4 linked regions of the Drosophila melanogaster genome follow. The protein of the gene in region 3 interacts with the protein of the main gene of each other region in a pairwise test. Each region holds a gene or a part of one and is shown on either strand. Other genes may lie near its edges. The genes, in order: baf, LamC, bocks and Lam.

Region 1 (3,395 bases), on a different chromosome or scaffold from region 3:
TTCACCTGGCCACGTTCGATATAGGCACCACGAATCGATTGAATCGAATTGCTCATGGTGCTGGACTTCCAGCCGTGAACGAGTATCTTGGTGTCCAGTTCCGGATTGAATTTCTCCGCCATCTCCTGCCAGGTGTCTCGCTTGTGGCGCTGCGGAAACTCAAAGTTATTCTCATCTATCCAGAAATCAGCACTGGAACTGGAGTCGCTGGAATAAAAGGATTCAAATTGTGACCACTACGAAAGATAACTCTTCAAATCAAATAAAAAAAAACCACACACCTTCCGTACAGCTCGAACTTGATGAGCTGTGGCAGATTGATGCGGTTTTCGGGCGGAGGTTCCACCAGATAGGCCACCTCAGGCTTACCCTGTCCATTGGGCATGTAGATCCAGGTTTTGTTGTAATCCTCCTGATTTAGAGCCACCTCACCACGAATGCCAACTAAAATGGAGCAGAAACTTATGCTTAGAAGGATGGCTAAATCGAATTGAAAACATTTTACAAAGCAGCAGCACGGGTCGCACCACTTGGGCGAGGGCAGCGAATCCGGTGATGAGCCACTGCACCACCACAAATGTGGTGGACACCTCGTTGCGACACGGATTGATCACATTACAGATGCAGGCCAGCGCATTCGAGGACATCTTGACCAGCTAAACGTCGATCTTGAACTGATCGGACGCCGGATTCCAAAGATCGGAGCTCCCAGCTCCCAGTTTCCCAGCTTCCCAGATCCAAGCTCATTAAGGCGGCTGACGCATTAGTAATCCTCGAAACCGGTTCCAGCCCAGCAATTAATTTGTGGCCTGGAGCGTTTTAATTACTCAGCATCAGTGTGCGCGCGAATCTCGGTCAGGTGAGACAAAGCCACATATGTATATCCGTTTCCCCGTAACTCCCAACTCACCCATCCAACAACTAAGGGCCAGGCCACAAAGCCAGCAAAGCGCTAACATCTCTGTACCAAAGTCGACGTCACTGTGCCACGGGAATCGGGTGTGTGGATTTTATAGCGTACGATAAGCTAGACGAGGGCCAGGTGTCAATCAAGACTGGAGTTTTGGACGGACTGCTGGCCAGGTTGAAGCCTCGGTCGGAAGGGTCTCGGCGTTATCATTCCAACTCAGTTGGGCGTCCCAAGCGCGGCGCTGTTAAATTGGGTTAAGCCCAGTTCATCGGTGCATACTAATCTAAGGTGCGTTGCCCCGGTATTGAAAAGTGGAACAATATAAATATTTGAAAATATGTTCGGTAATTTAGTTAAATAAGTTACAATAACAATTACATTTTTATAAGTGTTTTTATGAAAAATGCTACATCTTATGTACACATAGATTAAATATTATTTAGATTTTCAGCGATGGCTATGTAAATTTTTCACAAATGCAATACTTTAATGCACTAACATTATAACAAATTTCAAATTTATAGAAAACTTTAAGTATTCAAAATCTAAAACGGTCATGTAAAATACCATACATCAAACCATGTAAGCATACATCTTACATGTAAAATATTGCTGGCATTTGACCTAAGTAGATTAAGTAGATTACAAAAATATGTAATCCGCAATTTCAAAGAAACATTTTTGAGTGCATCTTATAAAACTCTATTTTTTGCCAATGCTATGTAAAAGAATAATTAAACTTTGTTAATTGTTGGGTGCGCAAATGAGTAAAGCCAGAATTACGTGGCCTATTACATTGCCTAATTTTGTTTAGTATATCTAGATGTGTTGTTGCATTTTCGAAAATATCACTTGCTGCCACACTGGCTGTGCGTCATTTTCAGAAACGCCGCGAATATTTTGCCATTGAAATCTAGCTAAGCATTGGAATTTCGCAACGTGCAGCAGCAAAGCAAACTACAAACATGTCGGGCACATCGCAGAAACACAGGAACTTCGTTGCGGAGCCAATGGGCAACAAGTCGGTGACGGAACTGGCCGGAATTGGGGAAACCCTCGGTGGACGCTTGAAGGACGCTGGATTCGATATGGTGCGTGTGTAAATACGATGACGCCATGTGCGCAAATAAACAATGCCAGTCAAGTGCTAACGATCATTTCCATTCGTTTTAGGCCTACACCGTTTTGGGACAGTATCTGGTGCTGAAAAAGGACGAGGAGCTGTTCAAGGACTGGATGAAGGAGGTGTGCCACGCCAGCTCCAAACAGGCATCCGATTGCTACAACTGTCTCAACGATTGGTGCGAGGAGTTCTTGTAAGAGGTGGACACACAAGCCATCCGAGTAATTCGATCAAAAGGAATCTGCTAAAGGCATCGGCCAATCATTTTTATTCGCAGTCAACGAAAGTGGCCCAATGCTAGCTAAGCATTTGCCGTGTTCACTGTTAGTATGTATAGCTGTAGGGTGTAATTTAATGTCTAATCCGAATAAATGTACAGTCATGGAAACGATCCTGCATTTGGATCTCTGTTCTGCGAAAAGTACAGTAGGTGTAAAACATTTGTTGCTGGCCGGCGAAGCAGCCTAATGCAGATTTTTATTAATTTGATTAGGGGACAACAATAAGCAACACTATAGAAGGCAGATCGGTTGGCGACTATATCTTCTCTATGTTTTCGATTGTTGGCGAGTAGGAGTCTCTGACTCGCTGAAATAAGCCTCTGTCTTTTTGATGTTTCTTTATCAGCGGGCTGATGTCGCCTAATTTTGAAATCTATTTCTTTTTGTTTTTCGGAAATGATCTTTTATAATGATGGACTTAGAACCTTTTAAATCCCAATCGCTGTTTTGTTTGGGGATTATGTGTAAGCGGTTAATATATATTTTATAATGAAACCCCTTTTGTCAAAATTAATTGTCCTCGAGTAATTAATTAGTACCGAGTATTTGATTATAAATACAACTTTTTTTAAATAAAAATATATATTTTTAAAAACTTATTTTTAAAGTGAGTGGTATTAAATAGGATTTCTTTTCCCTGAAGTGGTATCATATGGTATTTATTTTTGGTCCCGTGGTATTTTTTATCGTTATCGGCGCGGTCACGCTGCTAAGAATTACATTACGCGTGAATACCAATGAAAATTAAGAGAGAAATTGCAAAACACAGCCAAGCGGTGCAATAAATCGCAAAGTAAGAGGCGCAAAACGCGCAAATACCGTTTGCGCGGTTAAAAAATGCAAAAACACCAAACGATAGATTAAACAAAGTGAAATTAACTCGGCTTTGGCATATGCGAACACCAGTGTGCCAGTGTGTGTGTGTTTTTCTTTGTATATAGACTCGCAGAGCGAGACGGCCATACACGACGGCAGACGGGACGGTGCAGGTGCGCGAGTGCGAGCGGGAAAAAGGCTGTGCGGTCACTGCTACTCTGTGTGTTATTTCAGAGTTACAGGCCAAACATTCTGATGTGCGGCC
Region 2 (7,248 bases), on a different chromosome or scaffold from region 3:
AAACGAACTAGTACAACTGGCTTTTATTGCACATATGTATTTCTAAGCATTATTTTTGTATCCGAAACGAGTCGTTTATTAGTTTGAATGGCAGCCCTAGAATTGTTAAATAGTATATTTCTACAACTGCCCTGAAGCTGTATATTTGCTCCATTAAAAACTTTTGCTTCGGTTTGCTCGACCTTTCCCAGTGATCCAACCTAATTTATTTTCAAGTTGTAAAGTTGCGAAACTTTTTCGTTGACCTCGTTCGGTTTTAGCCCACAGTTTTGCTCCCAGCTGCACCTGTCCACCTGACTTCTTGTAGTTAATTTCCCCCACTTACCTGTCCATTATGGCCTGGCCCATGGTCCTGGATCCCAGATAGTGCAAAATGCCGCGACAGCATCTCAAGAAGTTTTCCACTGGCCTAAGCCGATTTGGCTTCCTCGCAAAAAAGATATCAACGCAGGCGACCGCACGGCTAAATCTCATTAATTGATTTTCCAGCCAACTTTCTTGTAACATTTATTTGTTTGTTTATTTTTGTATTTTTACCAAAATGCATGTTCTCGTCATAAATTACAGAGAGAGAGAGTGAGAGTAGGGTGTAGAGCGTGAAAAAACTTACTTAAACATAGGAGACGCATAGAGTCAAAGACATGTACTAAGGTCACTTAAACATTTAACATTAAGAGTTGAACAAGTTTTGATTGTTGTACATAGTTTCACAATAAGCTTGATATGCAGAACAGATCTGTGTGTGGTTTGAATGTGCAGCTCGGAGTCTGTGAGTCTCTGCGGTGAGTTGGGTTTTGTTTGGCTGGGCCTCAGGATCCAAGCCAAGCCAGTCCGATTCGAAGTTGAAGCTCCCGCCTAGAAGAGCAGGGAGAAGAGGCTCCTCACGCCAGTGGAGCCAGCTCCGGAACCGAGGGTAAAGCCCGTACTGGGCGTGCCACTGCTGCGATGCCGCGAGGTGTGGCTGGAAACGTTAGCACGGACACGGTCGTAGCTGGCAACATCCTGAAAGGCAAAAGATATAACGTAAATTATAGTCGAAATATGCAAAGGTCTATGGCATATCGTACTGGTCGAGCACGAATTCGAGGTGTCTGCAGTGGCGGCAGATGTCGCAAGTGCCGCATGTGTTGTATATGGACAAGACTCTCACCTCTTTGTCGGCATTGGCCAGCACCGATCGCATCGAGTTGGCCACCGGCCACTTCTTCTTCATCACCAGATTGTTGGGTGGATCATGTGCGGTACCAGCATCGACGGACCAAATGGTTACACTAGCACCGCCGAGTACCTTCGATCCGCGCGAGAACTTGAAGGCCAGTTCCTCGTCGCCGGCAATGCGGGTTAGCTGCCAGCCAGTCAGATTGATCTCCTCGGTTCCCTTGTTGTGCAGCTTGATGAAGCGTCCCTCAACGTCCGCCTCGATGATCTCCAGATCTCCCTTGGCGGCGGCATTCACCGAGTACTCGGACAGAGTGCGATCCTCGCTCTCATCGATCACGGTGCGGCGACGCTTCACGGCGCTGGATCCAGAGATGCCAGGTGTAGCCGAGCGACGGCCACTGGGCGTGACCCTGCCGGATCGGGAACTGGCACTGGCGGTCAAGTGGCTGCCATTGCTGGAGATACCGGAGTCGGTAGTCGGGCGTCCGGGCGACTCGATGTTCAGGCGACGCTCCTCACCGCACAGCAGTTTGTCGTAAGCGGCAATTTCGAGATCCAACGACACCTTGATGTCCATCAGACCCTGGTACTCCTGCAGCTGGTGAGCCATCTCGTCGCGCATACGCTGTAGTTCGGCTTCCAAGGAGGCGATGTACTGGTTGTGGCGCTGGCGCTCCGTGTCCAAGAGGTTCTCCAGCTCCCGAATGCGAGCCTATGGTAAATGAGAAAATGTCAACATTAAAATCACACGGGGAATTTAGTTTGGCAATTGCAGTACTCACATTCAAGCCAGCATTGGTGTCCTCCAGATTCTGTAGCTTGGCGTTCAAGCCATCGATCTTGGTGCGCATGAGACGGACTTCCTCGGTGGCAAGAGCGGATCCCTGGGCAGCCCTATTGGCAGCAGCCTTGAGGTTCTGGATCTCATTGTCGTACAGCAGCTCGATCTCCTCGCGATTGATGCGCATTTGACCCTCGTACTGATCACGCAGTTCCTGGAGCGATTGCTGCAGCTTGGCCTCGTATTGACGCGACAGTCGGCCATCGATCTCGCTGATCTCGATCTGGCGACGGGATCGGGTCTCGGTGAGCTCCTGGGTGTGCACCTGATCCTTGAAGGCCAGCTCCTCGCGCAGGCTCTGGTTCTGGTTCTCCAGATCGACGCGGGCCAGCGTCTCCGCCTCCAGCTGCTTGCGAAGATCATCCAGTTGGCGGCGCAGGCGTTCGTTCTCCAGAGCGAGCTCCTTGGCCTGATCCTCGAACTTCTTGCGATCGGCCAACGATTGGTTGTACTTGCCATTCACCTCGTTGTAGCGGTTCTCATACAGGCGGGCATTGTTCTCTGCCACGGTAGCCTCCTTCGTCTTTTTGTCGAGTCTTAAATTTAAAATGGATTTGGTTTAAAAATTAATAATCTTTTATAACAAAGAACTTTTTAATTTAATAATTAATCAGCCTATTTGCCTGAGTAATCCCTTATCGAAATTTAGGCGGTTCATAGGAGCAATTGTTTTTTTTGCTTTTATCTACATGTGCTCATTGAATGACGTCACTTATCTATATAATTATAACTGAGTCACATTGCGACTCACATTTGTTTGCGAAAGCTAAACCGCTCTCTTTATATCGCTTATGTATTATTCATTTCATTTATTTAAATGCTATAGTCGCTTGGAAACTCGTTCATCGATCCTCCTCCATAGAAGAATCAAATACTCAAACATTTCGAGGTTTTTGTTTGCCTTGGGAGAAGTCGTCACATGCCATTAGCATAAAGTAGCCCGGCTATTTCTGACCAGTTCACCCCGTCCCCCCTGCGAAACCCCACCACCCCCTGTGATTTATGAGCGCCTTTTATTTTTTGTATTTGAAATTCTATTTAGGCAAAAACAAACTCGCTATAAAAAATAGCTACGAAAATTCCACAAATAATCCCTGCATATTTTCGGATATCAATTTTGGTTGTCAATCGGCGACTCGCGTGGTCGGCACGTTTTAAATTATTCTCTATAACAAATCCAATAATTTCAACTATGAAATAATTGACTTTGCATGTCATGCGTTCAATGAAAACGTAATTAAAATTATATATATAGTTTGGCGCCTTTTACGGCGATTGTGTTGACCATTTTTGAAAGTTTATTTTCATGGATTGAAAATCTTCTATTCTGTTTTATCGATTTTCTTTCGGTTTTTGCTGTTGCAACGAGAAAATGTAAACAGTTTTCGTAGCTAATCAAGAAAAGTTGTGTAAAAATGGGGAAATATAAAAACAAAATAGATTCAAGGTTGTTTTGTTTGCGTTCTAGATTTTCATAAATTTCCCCCTTTTTTGTGCGTTTTGTGTGAGCGTGTTAAAGTTCCATTTTTCCTCCCCAATTCCTTCCGCTGACCTAATTCGCTTGTACATATGTATGCTATTGTCACCAAAGAATAAATATGAAAATATATTTGGCTTTCTAAATTCTTCAAAAAAAAATTTAAAATAATTAAGCACAGCCAGCATTCACAAATGAAAATAATTTAAGCAATATGGACACTCAACAAAAGATAAATCTTTTATCACAAGTTCCATAATTCTGCTGCAATCTTATCGTATCTAATCGTAATCATCATAAACAATTTCCTTGGTTATTCCGGTCCGTTGCTCAACGTATAAGCCACACCTTAAGTAGCCGAAAAATCAAGTTTACCCAACATTTAGGCACCCGCCTTTTAGCCAAACTCTTAACTTCGTTAACGCATTGCAAAACGCACAAACAACAAATTGTGGCTATTATGAATTGAAAAAGCTTTGGGCCTCATCGCGCAGTAAATACCAAAAATAAATATGATAACGCAAACGACGCGAAACGGAAATCTCGCAAGTGGAAAAGCTAAGCAACCCAACTTTTGTTGACTTCCCACCAGAAACTGGTATTACAAATGGATCTGTAACTGAGTGCCATATGACATCATAGTCTTGTAACCTTCATTGAGATTTACGGCGGTATTTCGATTCTTCCTTTTTGATTTTCATTGGGTTTCTTTTGGTTTACTACTCACACATTAGCTGAGAACTAAACATTTGCATAAAAATGCCTAGAGAATTCTGGAAGTGTAAATGCAAAAAATAAACAACAGCGAAAGAGTCGAGAGAGTTTCCCATGTGCTTGGCTTTCAAAATGTGCTTTTGGCATGACATCATCGGCCTCGCTCGCTCTCAGTCTGCCCCGTTCTCTGTCTGTCTCTGTCACTCCCTACATATAAAAAAAAAACAACCATGGAAACTGAAGTTTGTATCTTACTAAAACTCTTTTCTTCTTACGAATAGCATGAAATATGAAAATTAAATATATTGCCTTTATAAATAAAACAATTTGTTATTGTTTTCGCTACATAACTACATAGCTGGAATTGAACTTCTAGGTCAACTGTACCTAAGAAATAAATATAAAATTCGCTTATTTCAATACAAAATACAACAAAAAAGTAAAAAAAAAAAAACAATTTGATAAAAAGTAGTGCATTTCTAGAAATCTCGACTGACTGTACTTTTACTTTACAAATCGAAGAAATTTCGCTGCTTTTCGTGCTGTGCATTATTGATTCCACATTTTCTTGACAAGGCTCCCAAAGTTGCCCCCATTTTCTGCCTGTGTCTCGCGCTCCAGTGGCCCGGCATGGGTACATATGTACATATGACATCACTGGCTGATAATACGCTGTTACCAATTCCGAGCCCAAACCTGAACCCGCCGTCTTGGAGCTTTACCTGGGCTTCAAGTCGTCGTTCTCCTCCCACAGACGCTTGATATCGATCTCAAGCTTGGCCTTCTCTTTGGCGGTCTCATCGAGCAGCTTGCGAGCGGCGGCCAGCTCCTTCTCATAGACCGCCTTCAGATTAGAGGTCTCCCTGTTGACGGTATCCTGGGCGAGATTCAGTTCCTGGGTGAGCCGGCTGTTCTCGTTCTCCAGGTTGCGCATGCGATCGATGTAGCAGGCCAGGCGATCGTTCAAATGCTGCAGTTCCTCCTTCTCCTGCTGCCGGCTGGTGCGCGTGGGCGAGGTGGGTGAGGTGGCGCCCACCCTTGACGAGGTGGATGCCCCGCCCACCGGCGTGGAGGTGGAGGCGCGCGAAACGCGTGTGTTCAATGTGACGCGGCGTGCTGACATTTTTGCAATGTGTTTTCTTTTCTTTTTGCGAGGTGCGAGTTGCTAAGTTAAGTACGTAATCCTCTCAAGTCACTGTCAATATTTTTGATTCTGAATTTTTTTTGCTTGGACGTCCGCCTGCTTTGACGACTAAAAATTGACTGAAACTTTGACTCGAAACGAACGGCTATCATCGACAAAATTAGTCGTCGTCGGCGGCGGCGGTCATAAAAAACCAAATACAACACGAATGCGGCGCTGCTCTCTCTATTTTTTCCGCTCTCACCTTTTGGCTTTAGTATTATTGTTGTTTCGCCTTCCACCATATTCGCTTTCCCATTCGCATATGTAAGAGTTGTTGTGCTTTCCTATGTACAGCTGTTTGTGCCGCTGGAACTCTAAATAGAAATCGAACAACTAACAAACACACCAACTGGTCCCAAAAACGAGTTCTTTACATTTTGTTTTACTTCTCTGGAAAATCTTTAAAAATCTTGAAAATCGTGTTTTAATATAAAATGAAAGAAATTTGTAAGAAACACATGTTTTTGTTAAGTTCTAGCATTAAACTTACAGTGTTCTTTTTAAAGAAGCTGCACTGTACCTTTAGGCGGAATCCCAGCGATGCATTCCAATCTTCAATAAGATCTTCATTGAGTTGCCCAAGGTTAATGAACGCGCTAAGTGCTACAGAATTAGAAATTTTACTAGAAAAAGAAATGGAGTAAACTTTAGAAAATAGTTTGTAAGATTTGAAAACGTTGGAATATAACCCATCTATGCATATGTTTGAACATTGCCTAACGAACATTTCCCTTCGGCATCATTACATTCTTCCACCCGTTGGCCACACATTTTCATTATGATTTGTTCGATTTTCGTTGGCCGCATAATGTAGTTCCCTTAATAGAGATTGCGACACATGAAAAGCGACCACAATGAACGCCCGCCCACATATCATCAATTCCGTGCCATTTGGCCCACAGTTCGAATGCGCAATGTGTCACTCGAGCTTATCGATCAGCGGCGGGTCAATTATGGCCCAGTGACTTGTCCAAAATTATGAAATACGACTGGGAGTAGCACCAGTACATAACATTCCTGGTGGGTGGTGGTGGTTGGTGGTTGGTGGAAAACGGCTTGGCGTAGTGTGAACATGTCATAAGTGAAATATTTATTGACATTGAGTTTACTGGAACGCTTTTGTAGATGCCCCACAGTCATAATAAATAAATAAGCACCTAAAAAGTGGCAGAGCGATTTTTCCCCCTTTGCCAACTTTTATTTTCAAATGCAAAAAATAGCCGGCAAACTGTTTTTTATTTTGCCCCTGAGAATCGCAATGAGAGTGAGAGAACTAGAGAGCTGTGAATTCTCTGTCTCAACACACGCTGTGAGAAAATATGTGAACTTCTCGTGCAATGTTAACGACGCCCGTGACGTCACCACCCGAGAGGCAGTCAAGCAAAGAAAAACGACAAAAAAAAAAAAACGAAAGACGGAGAAAAAAGTAAATCGAGTGTATATAGCACTGACCTCCAAAACGTAGCCGCTTCTCTGTGACGTCACCGAATTATTTTTAATCATGAACGAGCGTTGAAATTATTTTCTTACCCAAACTCGCCACTTCCCTTTTCGAAATTATAATTATACTTGTGATCCGTTTGTAAGCTGTGAGCGTTAGCTAATTAAAATTAATTAATGAGCCCGTTTGTGTGTGTGGAAAAAAAACGAACATTAAAGCCTAACCAGATGTTAAATGTTTGTGTTTGTTGTCTCATTTGGACTTTGTTTGGTTTTATTATTATTCTGTTCTTTGTGTTTTTTTGTTTTTTGTCTTCAAAGTATTCTAGCTGAGTTTTTTTTTTAGCTTGATGAATAGCTGGGGATTAAGATTACAAATTGATAAGAATGAGGGCAAAGGGAAATTTACTCAATGGAATGGTTGATTAT
Region 3 (3,837 bases):
GCGCAGGGATTACTATAAGATATTAGGCGTTAAGCGTAGCGCCAGCAAACAGGAGATTGTGAAGGCCTACAGGAAGGCGGCGCAAAAGTGGCATCCGGACAACTTCCGCGACGAGGAAAAGAAGGTGGCCGAGAAAAAGTTTATTGACATTGCCGCAGCCAAGGAGGTTCTCACGGATCCCGAGAAGCGTCGTCAATTCGACAACGGCGAGGATCCATTAGATCCTGAGAGCAATCAGCGTGGCGGCTTCCATGGCGAACATCCGTTTGGACACTTCCAACACGGGTCGCCGTTCCAGTTCAAGTTCCACTTCAATTAGTCAGCCAGCAGCCATTTGCTTTGTGATGTCCTAGCCGCGATCCCCGATATCCTTTAACGATTTTACACTGTTTTGTTCATTTAAATGGCGTGTAAATAGTAGCATAAAGCATAAATAAACCCATGGTCCGTTGTCAGAGAGTACCACAAACAAACACAAATCGCAACAAAACACACTGAGCACTTACATTTAATTAGTTTATTTAATACAATACAATAATTATAATGTAGTACATTTTTCTAATTATGTATAAAAAGAAACAATATGCGAGAACAAGCAATTAAAGACTTGGCAAATTGAGTTGAATATTTGTTAGTTTTGAACATGTTTGGAATTGAAGTAGTAGTCTTAAGGTGCAAAGTCGTCATAAATATTCCTTCGCTGTAGTCTGTGGTTGAAATGCGTGGAGTAACCAAAACCAAATGTATTCCGCGATATGAACGCTTCTCAGGCGTTGGGTGTCAATACCACGTACACCATGGTGGCCAGCATCACTGACACTACCAATATTAAGTAGAATTTGAGATTATATTTTTGATCCAATGACACCGCCAGTGCACGGAACTGCGCCATAGGCGAAACCTGATCGTGGTGTCTTACCAGAGGTTTTCTAGCCAGCGGCGAGAAGCGATTCTTTTGGAAATGGCTATTGATGGGTACTTCCTCGACTTCGGACTCGCTCTCCGTCTCCATGGGTTCGCCTGCGTCATTCGGCTGATCGTAGAATTCATTTAGTTGTGGATATAGAGTGTTTACTGCGGTGGTCGGCTGGAGCAGGCGACCACGGGCCAGATTGGATCCACTAACTGGAACACTCTGTCGCTGGCGAATGGGTGCTGGAGCTGGTGCTGGGCCACCAAAAGGCCTAGCGGATCCGCTGAAAGTGTTTCTTGGCGAAATGGGTGAAAGTTTTGGATTGTACGTAGATGACTCCTCGTAGCTGGTTGAGTTTAAGTTGGTTTGAGTCAGCAGGGGACGCGAAAAACCCAAATCTGTGGGTCTGTATGTCGAAGGTTCGATGCGTGGCTCGTATGTGGGAAGTGCGTGAAGAGTGGCGGCTGGCACATGGGGTCTTTCGTAGGTGTAGCTGCGTGGTATATCCTCCTGTTCGTACAGCGGCTGGTCAACTTCGCGTGTGTAAGATGTGGTCAAAACTCCGGATTTGGCTAGAGAAACATAACGTCTAGGCTGCTGGTCCTTGGAGTAATTAGGCACCGGAGAGTCCACCATGTAGGAGTCGTCGTCCTCCGACTGGGAGCTCATATCCGACACCGTGGTAGTAGTCTGCACAGATCTTCCCGAGATCGAGGTGTTGTCTAGTCCATAGGCGATTGTGCGACGACTTTGTTCGCTGATCTTGTTGTTGTTGCTGCTAGTGCGTCCTGCACTCTTGCCGGGCGTACGACGCACTGGCTCCGATGTGGGCGTCGTTACCTGGCTGCCGTGTACGGTCTCACGCCTCGGAATCGCTTTCTTACTTGCAGATTTGCTTTTGTTCAGCGGAACCCCGGTGATTTTGGCCTTTAGTCGGCGAATTATGACGCTGCGGGTGCTGTCCGTCACGGGAACACCGGGCAGGCCGTGCTCCAGGCACTTGGCCAGCAGCTCCTTGTTGCCCAACGTGTCCAGGTAAGAAAGGTCCGACATTATTTTCCGCCGTGGTGAAACTCAAAACACACAAAAATAGCAATGTCGTCACAATGTTGTCTATTAGTGATGGAACGGCAGCGATAGAATGTTCAATCTAAGTGCACGCCTATCGATTGCTGCTAAAGTAATGTTGTTTGACAAACTATAGCTAGATTTCATATGCTGGATGAGCTGTGCACGAAAGTAAAAACAATTTTTTAACATCAGACAGAAGAACAAACTACTTGAAGAAAAACTTAACTCGATATTTTATGTGCAATCGCCTCATGTGCAGTGTTATAAAATGCCTACAACTAAACATTTACAGCAGTGCTGCCAGACCTGGTTGGATACGCTTGCTATGGTTTATTTCAACTAACGCCCGACGGTCACACAGTTAGTTTTATGAAAATCGAACGCGCAACAGGTGTTCAATCGCAAACAAGACGCTCGAATTAAACGAATCGCCGCGCGGAAAGCGCTCGCCAAGCCAAAGAAAATCCCCAAGTCGCAGTGCGGAAAACTGAGGAGATATAGCATCGTAACATAAACAGTGGATTGTGGAAAAACAATCGTGAATCATTTGCACCTGTTTGGCGGCCAATATTTCTTCACCTTTTTGCTTTTCTGCGCCTGCGTGTGTGCCTCACTTCGCTTATTACACTTTTGTTTACCTCAATCGCGGGTGTTATTAAAGTTTTTGGCATCGATTTCGAGTAGCAAAGCAAGTGGCTGGAAACATTCGACAATTTGCTGGCTGCAATTGCAGCATATTTTCCATTTAGCCAAGCAAGAGCAAGGGAAACAAAAACAGCAACAACAGCAGCAGTAGAAGCAGCAGCATAAACATAAACCAAAAAACCGGTTAAAGCGGACAAGAGCGAGAAAGGCGCCCCAAAAAAGAGCAAGCGGGACAAAAACAAACACATAAAACGTGAAAAACAACAACGAATCAAAGTAGATATAAATACTAAACGAAAAAAAAAATATCCTCGTATTTGGGTTTTTGTTTTTTTGTTAAGCGCAAACAGAAAATAAGTGCGTTTGTTCTTTGTTTAAACGTGTTGACATCGTGTTTTCCCTGTAAAATTCCTTATCGGCCGATCGAATCGAAAGTGAACGAGTAATTGCCTTTCTGGTATTTGGTTTATTACATTTCGATATTGCTATTGCCCAAACTCAAACTCTGCGCGTGGCCTCCTTCTTATCGGCAGTCCAGTTCACCAGTCTACTCCACCAGAAGAACTACCTGTTGCCGCAACAATTAACACCAGGTGAGCAATAAAACCAACCCTTTTTACACTTCTGCAGCTTAGAATGCCCAATAGGACCGACCACCGGGTATTCTTTAAATATTGTTTACGTTGCACTTATAACGAATTCCAAGGAATGTACTCACAAAGAGCATTTGAACAATTGTATTCATGAAGATATATTTACTCATAATTAAGAATTCATCTAAAAAGAAGCATCGGGGGTTGCAAGGAAGAAATGGGGTTTCAAACTAAATGTTAATATCAGTGATTTAGGCACATACATATTTGGTGCTATTTTTGGAGTGGCTTGTACATGTGAATTTGCTGATTTCAAGTAGCTCCAAATGTTATTTATTGTTACCAATATAATTTGTGTTGGGCATTTCATTCTATTCAGTCGGTCATTGCCTATATTTGGTATTGCTTGATAGCCAAGTCACGTGAGAGGCCTTCCATCGATAAACCAAATCACAATTGTTAACAAAAGATTAGCCCCATGCCCATGACATTAGGCAACCCAAATTGGGGGAATTGGGGAATTCGCCACCGCAGTTCATTGACACAACCTTTGGCTGCTGTTTTCAGCTGTTTTTGCTGTTGAACCCGCTTAACTTTCACTGCAAACGCGGCTGG
Region 4 (6,514 bases), on a different chromosome or scaffold from region 3:
GAGAATAATCAGAAATGCAATTGCAAGCAACCTTGAGATACTTTTGTTATCGTTATCGCGGGTTAAACGGTCACTGCATTTGCCAGTTGAACGAACTTTAACCGCATCTCTCGCGTTGAGTGCGTTTCGTTTGAGTGGATTTTGCTCTCTTCTCTATCGACAGGGTTGACACCTAACATTTTTAAAAGAAACAATCATGGTCGGAAGAAGAAGAGAAATTATATTTATAAATGCGAAAGCACGTTGGTTTTGAAACGTCCTGCACTCAAAAATAATCGATAAGTCACTCAAAAATAAAGTTTATGAGCGAACACACGCATTGAAAAAGCATGTAGGCAACTAATACAGACGCAGAAAAATTAAAATTCCAAAAATAACTCATGGCGACGAATAGAAACGCAAAGCGAGTGACGAAAAAAGGGCCACCAGGCGTCGAAAGTGAAATGCGTACCCTACTATTACGAAATTCGTAGGAGCTTATTGGTTTCAGTATACGCTTTAAAACTATTTAATACTTTTTTATGTCTTTCTCTCTATTGCTAAATCAAAGTTTGTTTTTAATTTTTATTAAACATGGTTTCTTTATTTTTTAATTATCAAATTATTAGCAATTACATACATAAACGTAGATGTACTTAAAATTTAGTTGTATTCATCAGTTTTTGTATAATAGTCTGTGTGGGCGTTGCATTTGTTTGGCCGGCGTAAAACGCGACCACGCCCACCCATAAAAAATGCGACGGATCGCTGAGCCGCTACGTGTACTTCCATTTTCTTTCGTTTTTCTTCTTTGTTGCTTTTGTAATTGTTGTACATTTGTGTTGTTGCTGTTAATGCTGTTGTTGTTGTTGCTGTTCTTATTGTTGCTCGTCCGGTAAAATGTCTGCAGGAAGCTCAAGAACCGGTCTAAACCGGGAGAAAGCCGTTTTGGTGGATCGTAAACCCTATGGCCATGGCTAAAAATATATATTGCTGGCTGGTTGTCACTTCCGTAGGCATGAGTCTATATATATAATGTATGTATGTATATGTATGTATAATGTATAATGTATTTTATGTTGATTGTACAAAAAATACTTAAATAAATATGTCTGTTGTCAGGAGCGTTTGTTTTCTTTAGTTAATCCTCTTGACCTGTATCTTATAAATCACTCACTACGTGCTCGTTGTTTTTTTTTTGTTGTTGTTTGCTGACGTCGACTGGTTTATCTGGGATATAGCTTAAAAACTAATTTACTAAATATGTAGGTGGAGCGTAAGTACATCGAAAATATTGTTTTTCTTGCAATATTTTCAAAGTTCTTGCCGCCGCGAATACAAGAAGTGAACGTCTTACGTAAATTCTATGTGGCATAAAAAAGAGGCAACATGCCTCTCCAGTTTATACCAAATAAAGTTTACAATAGATTAGTTAACGCGGAAATACAAAAACATCGAAACAATAAACTATAGAATTTGTTAAGAAAGGGAAAACGAAAGTGTACAAACGAAACGAAGATTCAGGATGTCTTCTACACAAATGTTTTTGATTAAATAATTGGCGCTGCGGCCACAAAAAATAACTTAGCTGAATAATAAATCTCTGTACCTCGGTGTGTGTGTTTTTGGGTTCTAAATTATGATCTTCGTGTGTGCTTATTTTGTTTGTCTTGTTCAGCAAAGAGGAAAGAGTTGTGTTGTGCTGCGTTTGATTTTACATAATGGCGCACTTCTCGTTTGACTGCTGAGGATCGCCCTGCTGGTGGTAGAGCTGCTCATTGCCGTCCACGGCGGTCACGCTGCGACGACGACTCAGCCGGGAGGAGGATGTGTGTTGGGACACAATGCGCTTGATGCGATCCAGATTGGCCACGGCCTCGCCCTCGGAGTTCAGCAAAATCGTCCTAGTGTTGTCGGCGGAGACCCACTTCTGTGACTTCATCACAAGGCTCGATGGCGGCTCGTGCGAGGCCTTGGTGTCCGCCGACCAAACGGTGATCACGCCATTTGGCTCGATCCTCACCGATCGATGGAACTTGTAAGTGGTCGAAGGACCTTTCTCGTTGATTAGCCGCTGCAGCTGCCAGCCACCGATGGCCACCTCCTCGCTGCCCTTGTTGAACAGCCTTACGAACTTGCCCTCGGGATCGATCTCCTTGATCTCCACGTTGCCCTTGGCACTGGCGGACACATAGTAATCGGCGACGCTGTGATCCTCCGACTCGTCGACCACGGCGCGTTTGCGCTTCACGGCAGCAGAGGGAGTGCGACGCGATGGCGTGGCTCGCGTGGAGTTGCGCAGCGACTGGCTAAAGGACTGCACTGTGGCCGTGTTGGTGGCTGGGGTGATGTTCAAACGAGCCTCCTCGCCCACCAGCAGCTTGTCGTATGCGGCGATTTCCAAATCCAGGGAGACCTAAGCAGGATAATTAGATTTATGTATTAATACGTACACGATTTTAGACAAGTATTAAAGCTAACCTTGATGTCCATAAGGTCCTGGTACTCCTTGAGCTGTTGCGTCATCTCTTCGCGCAGCCGAATGAGCTCCTTCTCGAGAAGGTCTATCTCTTGACCGTGGCGTTCGCGATCGTTGTCCAGCTGGCGCTCCAGATCACGGATCCGCGCATTGAGGTCGGCATTGGCTTGCTCCAGTTCGTTGATATTGGCGTTGAGCGCATCGATACGCACACGAGTGGAGCGCAGCTCCTCGATGGACTTGTGCGTGGAATTGGATGTGCGTGCGGCGGCCTCTTGCAGTCGTTGGATCTTGTCCTCGTAGAGGGACTGGATTTCATCGCGATTAATCTGCATCTGCTCCTCGTACTGGGCGCGCAGCTCCTGCAGCGACTGCTTCAACTTGGCATCGTACTCGGAGCTGAGGCGACCGTCGATCTCGCTATACTCTGTCTGTTTGATGCGGCGCGACTCATTGATCTCCTGCGAATGGATCTGATCCTTGAACGAGAGCTCCTCGCGCAGACTCTGAATGGTGTTCTCCAGGTCAACGCGCGACAGTGTCTCCTGTTCCAGGTTCTTCCGCGTTTCCTCGAACTGCTTACGCAGTCTCTCCAGCTCCTTTAGCGCCTCATTCAGGTCTTCGTTAAGCTTCTTCCGATCGGCGTTGGCCTGGTTGTATTTGTTGTTCAGCTCGTTGGCGCGCGACTCGTACATGCGGACATTGCCTGCGGGTTGGGATAATCAATCAATTAATGTTCGTTAAATGCCAGAATAGGGATGATTTTGTCACAGAAAGTGAGGAATATCATGGGATAATCATTATATACAGTTCAGCAACTAAATGAATGTTTCGTTCTTGCTTGAAACCACGCCTTTTGTCTCTTCTTACTTTTAATTTTATCATTACTCTACTTTCTTTGCCCTACAATTATAAGGTTTTCTTATCGATTCAGTTTCCACGCACTTACCCTCAGCAGTGGTGCACTCCTTGGTCTTCTTGTCCAGCTTGTTCTTGAGCTCCTCGTTCTCCTCCCAGAGACGCTTGATATCGATCTCGGCACGAGCGCGATCCCTAGCTGTGTCATCGAGCAGACGGCGCGTCTCCAGCAGCTCGGCCTCGAAGATGTTCTTGATGTTGGTGGTCTCGCGTGTGACCGTGTCCCTGGTGGTCTGCACCTCGATGGTGAGGCGGGAGTTCTCCGTCTCCAGGTTGCGCACCCGGTCAATGTAGGTGGCCAGGCGATCGTTCAGGTTCTGCAGCTCCACCTTCTCGGCCACGCGCGAGTGCCGGGTGGGGCTGAGGGGGCTGGAGGCCGTCTGCGAGTGAGTGGACGGCGGCGGCGGCTGCGGACCCGCCGATGGCGGCCGGGGGGTGGAGGTGTTGCCGGGCTGCGGCGTGGCGGTGCCAGCACGTCGGGATTTGCTCGACATGTTCACGCTGCAAGACAAATGAAATGTGCAGAATAACACGTGAGATTTTTGTGACTGACCTCTTTAGGACACAACACTTGAAGAAAAGTTGAATAACACAATTGCGTGCCTTCTAAACGCGTTTTATATGCAATACTTATATTTGAACTTTTTCGTTCGGTGTAGGGTATGTTATTTTTGCGCCCTGATAAAATTCCAAACAGAACCGAACACGAAAGAGGGGAAACGCACAAAACGCTCAAAAACAGAAGCTAAACGAGTTTCTCTAACGCGCTCTCTCTCTCTCTCGCAGTCTCCTCTACGTCTCACTCACACACACGCACATCGCTTTCCACTCAAGCGACTGTACTAAAGCGGACGAGGAAAACGAAGTGAGTTTGTCGGCGTTTGTTTATGGGCGTGGAGGCAAATGGCGCGGCTAATACTAGTTTAATCAATCGCAACGCTTAGCTAATCCAGTCGACGCACTTTAAACGATTTGATAAGGAGCCAAAAATTGCACAATATGGCGATTTTAATTCAATATTTACAGCGACTTTACACTAATACAGGCAGGGGGGTTATTTCGATTTTGAGTGAAACAGTGCCGCCTCTATTGTTCGGCACTTAATCAGTTATTTCAACTTTTTCTACAAGTTTTCCTAATGCTCGTAGATAGCAGCGCAACTCACCTGACTTTTTATAACGAACGGAAAATGCACAAATTTGAAAATGAAGTATCTTGCAGCAGGAAAACGCGGCCGACGCTGGAACGTGTAATCGAATTTGTTGCGATGGTTTCAGAGACTAATCGATAACTTTCCGGCATGCCTGGTGTGACCAAACGCCGCGCTAGATAAAAGACTAAGAACCGCTTGACCCCAAAATGATAAAAAAAAAATTAAATTTAAGCTCAACAAGCCATTTTAATTTAAAGCGTTAGAAGGCATATATTTTATAAAAACTTTTTAGTTGAAGCTTACAAATGGATTTGTTGTGCACAACTATCGATAACTTAACGATATCACCCGGCTCAGCTCGCATGAGTTCTTAAACGTACTTCGGTCACACTGCTCTGCGCTGTTTTTTCCTCCGCATCACGTTAAAGATTTTAAAATAGTTAATTTCACTTTAAAAGCTGTATTTTAAAGTGATAAACGTGCACAAAAGGTGAGTTTGACACTGAAAATCACACTGCACTAAATAAAATCGTCGCTTGTAATGGGTATTTCGTTTTATTTCGAAATACATGTAATGCGGTGCGGTGAAAAAACAAAATGGCGGAGGGAACGCCGGCACCGGTTCCGCAAAAAAAAGCGGCATTTTCTTTAACAAACACATGTAACTTATCTAGTCGCACCCATTTTATTTCCCAGCATTTAGTTGCGAATTTATAGCCGATAACTAGTTAAAGGTAAGAAAGCCGCAGAAATGGCCGACAATGACGATCTTTTGGACTACGAGGATGAGGAGCAGACCGAGACCACTGCGGTCGAAAACCAGGAGGCCCCCAAGAAGGATGTCAAGGGCACCTATGTGTCCATTCACAGTTCCGGCTTCCGCGATTTCCTCCTGAAACCGGAGATCCTGCGCGCCATCGTGGACTGCGGCTTCGAGCATCCCTCGGAGGGTGAGTACTTGCACTCCACCTGGAGTGACGAAAGGTACAGTCACTAACGATGCTCTCCGCTTGCAGTTCAGCACGAGTGCATTCCGCAGGCCGTACTGGGCATGGACATCCTCTGTCAGGCCAAGTCCGGCATGGGTAAGACCGCCGTCTTCGTTCTGGCCACGCTGCAGCAGCTGGAGCCGTCGGACAACAACACCTGCCACGTCCTGGTCATGTGCCACACCCGCGAGCTGGCCTTCCAGATCAGCAAGGAGTATGAGCGATTCTCCAAGTACATGCCCACAGTCAAGGTGAGTCTACGTTTTAATCCATTGTATATAATTCAACAAAAAGTTTGGTTCGACTATATAGTTACTATATATTAATTCGATATGTTTTCTATTTAGGTGGCTGTCTTCTTTGGCGGAATGGCTATTCAAAAGGACGAGGAGACCCTCAAGAGCGGCACCCCGCATATTGTGGTGGGCACCCCTGGCCGAATTCTCGCCCTCATTCGCAACAAGAAACTTAATCTGAAGCTTTTGAAGCACTTTGTGCTCGACGAGTGCGACAAGATGCTGGAGCAGCTGGGTAAGTTGACTAATAATCACCAAATGACGGACGTTTTACTAATAACCAAACCATTCTTTTAGATATGCGTCGTGACGTTCAAGAGATTTTCCGTAGCACGCCGCACGGCAAACAAGTGATGATGTTCTCTGCCACATTGAGCAAGGACATTCGTCCCGTTTGCAAAAAGTTCATGCAAGATGTAAATATCAACGTGTTCATAACCAAAATGCTCGTACTTCTCCACCTCGCATCCACCGCTATCACGACAATTAGTTATTATTTTGTTAATGCCACGCGATATCGAACATTCGATCTTGATCCCCTCCGTATAAGCCAACCACCATCTTGCAAATGGTTAAACGCGTACAACCAAACGTCCAGCGCTCTGTGAGCATAACTCGTATCGAAAAACTTAGTTAATGACTATCGGACACCATTTTCTAAATGGTTAATCGTGGAAATTGGCAACCGTTGCAAAAGCAT

What was found.
Region 1: the proteins of bocks (region 3) and baf interact in a two-hybrid assay, tested with the Drosophila melanogaster proteins (3 studies listed by BioGRID).
Region 2: the proteins of bocks (region 3) and LamC interact in a two-hybrid assay, tested with the Drosophila melanogaster proteins (one study listed by BioGRID).
Region 4: the proteins of bocks (region 3) and Lam interact in a two-hybrid assay, tested with the Drosophila melanogaster proteins (one study listed by BioGRID).

Annotation. Positions count from the first base shown.
Region 1 is NT_033779.5:8,027,733-8,031,127, forward strand, and holds baf (barrier to autointegration factor), read left to right. Parts: upstream 1-1,729; 5' UTR 1,730-1,875; coding exon 1,876-2,001; intron 2,002-2,083; coding exon 2,084-2,230; 3' UTR 2,231-2,833; downstream 2,834-3,395. Other genes in the region: CG7367 (uncharacterized protein), read right to left, coding at 1-207, 282-444, 506-647. UniProt on the Drosophila melanogaster protein: Plays fundamental roles in nuclear assembly, chromatin organization, gene expression and gonad development. May potently compress chromatin structure and be involved in membrane recruitment and chromatin decondensation during nuclear assembly.
Region 2 is NT_033778.4:14,570,310-14,577,557, forward strand, and holds LamC (lamin C), read right to left. Parts: upstream 5,463-7,248; 5' UTR 5,317-5,462; coding exon 4,916-5,316; intron 2,539-4,915; coding exon 1,944-2,538; intron 1,874-1,943; coding exon 1,068-1,873; intron 1,003-1,067; coding exon 882-1,002; coding exon of another isoform or gene 856-881; 3' UTR 501-855; downstream 1-500. UniProt on the Drosophila melanogaster protein: Lamins are components of the nuclear lamina, a fibrous layer on the nucleoplasmic side of the inner nuclear membrane, which is thought to provide a framework for the nuclear envelope and may also interact with chromatin.
Region 3 is NT_033777.3:9,588,964-9,592,800, forward strand, and holds bocks (bocksbeutel), read right to left. Parts: upstream 2,040-3,837; 5' UTR 1,967-2,039; coding exon 767-1,966; 3' UTR 505-766; downstream 1-504. Other genes in the region: P58IPK, read left to right, coding at 1-319. UniProt on the Drosophila melanogaster protein: Inner nuclear membrane protein. May have a role in maintaining the structural integrity of the nuclear lamina. During pupal development, plays essential and redundant functions with the other LEM domain proteins; MAN1 and Ote.
Region 4 is NT_033779.5:5,540,688-5,547,201, reverse strand, and holds Lam (lamin), read right to left. Parts: upstream 4,723-6,514; 5' UTR 4,542-4,722; intron 4,424-4,541; exon of another isoform or gene 3,878-4,423; 5' UTR 3,871-3,877; coding exon 3,408-3,870; intron 3,165-3,407; coding exon 2,461-3,164; intron 2,396-2,460; coding exon 1,694-2,395; 3' UTR 560-1,693; downstream 1-559. Other genes in the region: Hel25E (helicase at 25E), read left to right, coding at 5,281-5,479, 5,546-5,769, 5,866-6,049, 6,112-6,230. UniProt on the Drosophila melanogaster protein: Lamins are components of the nuclear lamina, a fibrous layer on the nucleoplasmic side of the inner nuclear membrane, which is thought to provide a framework for the nuclear envelope and may also interact with chromatin.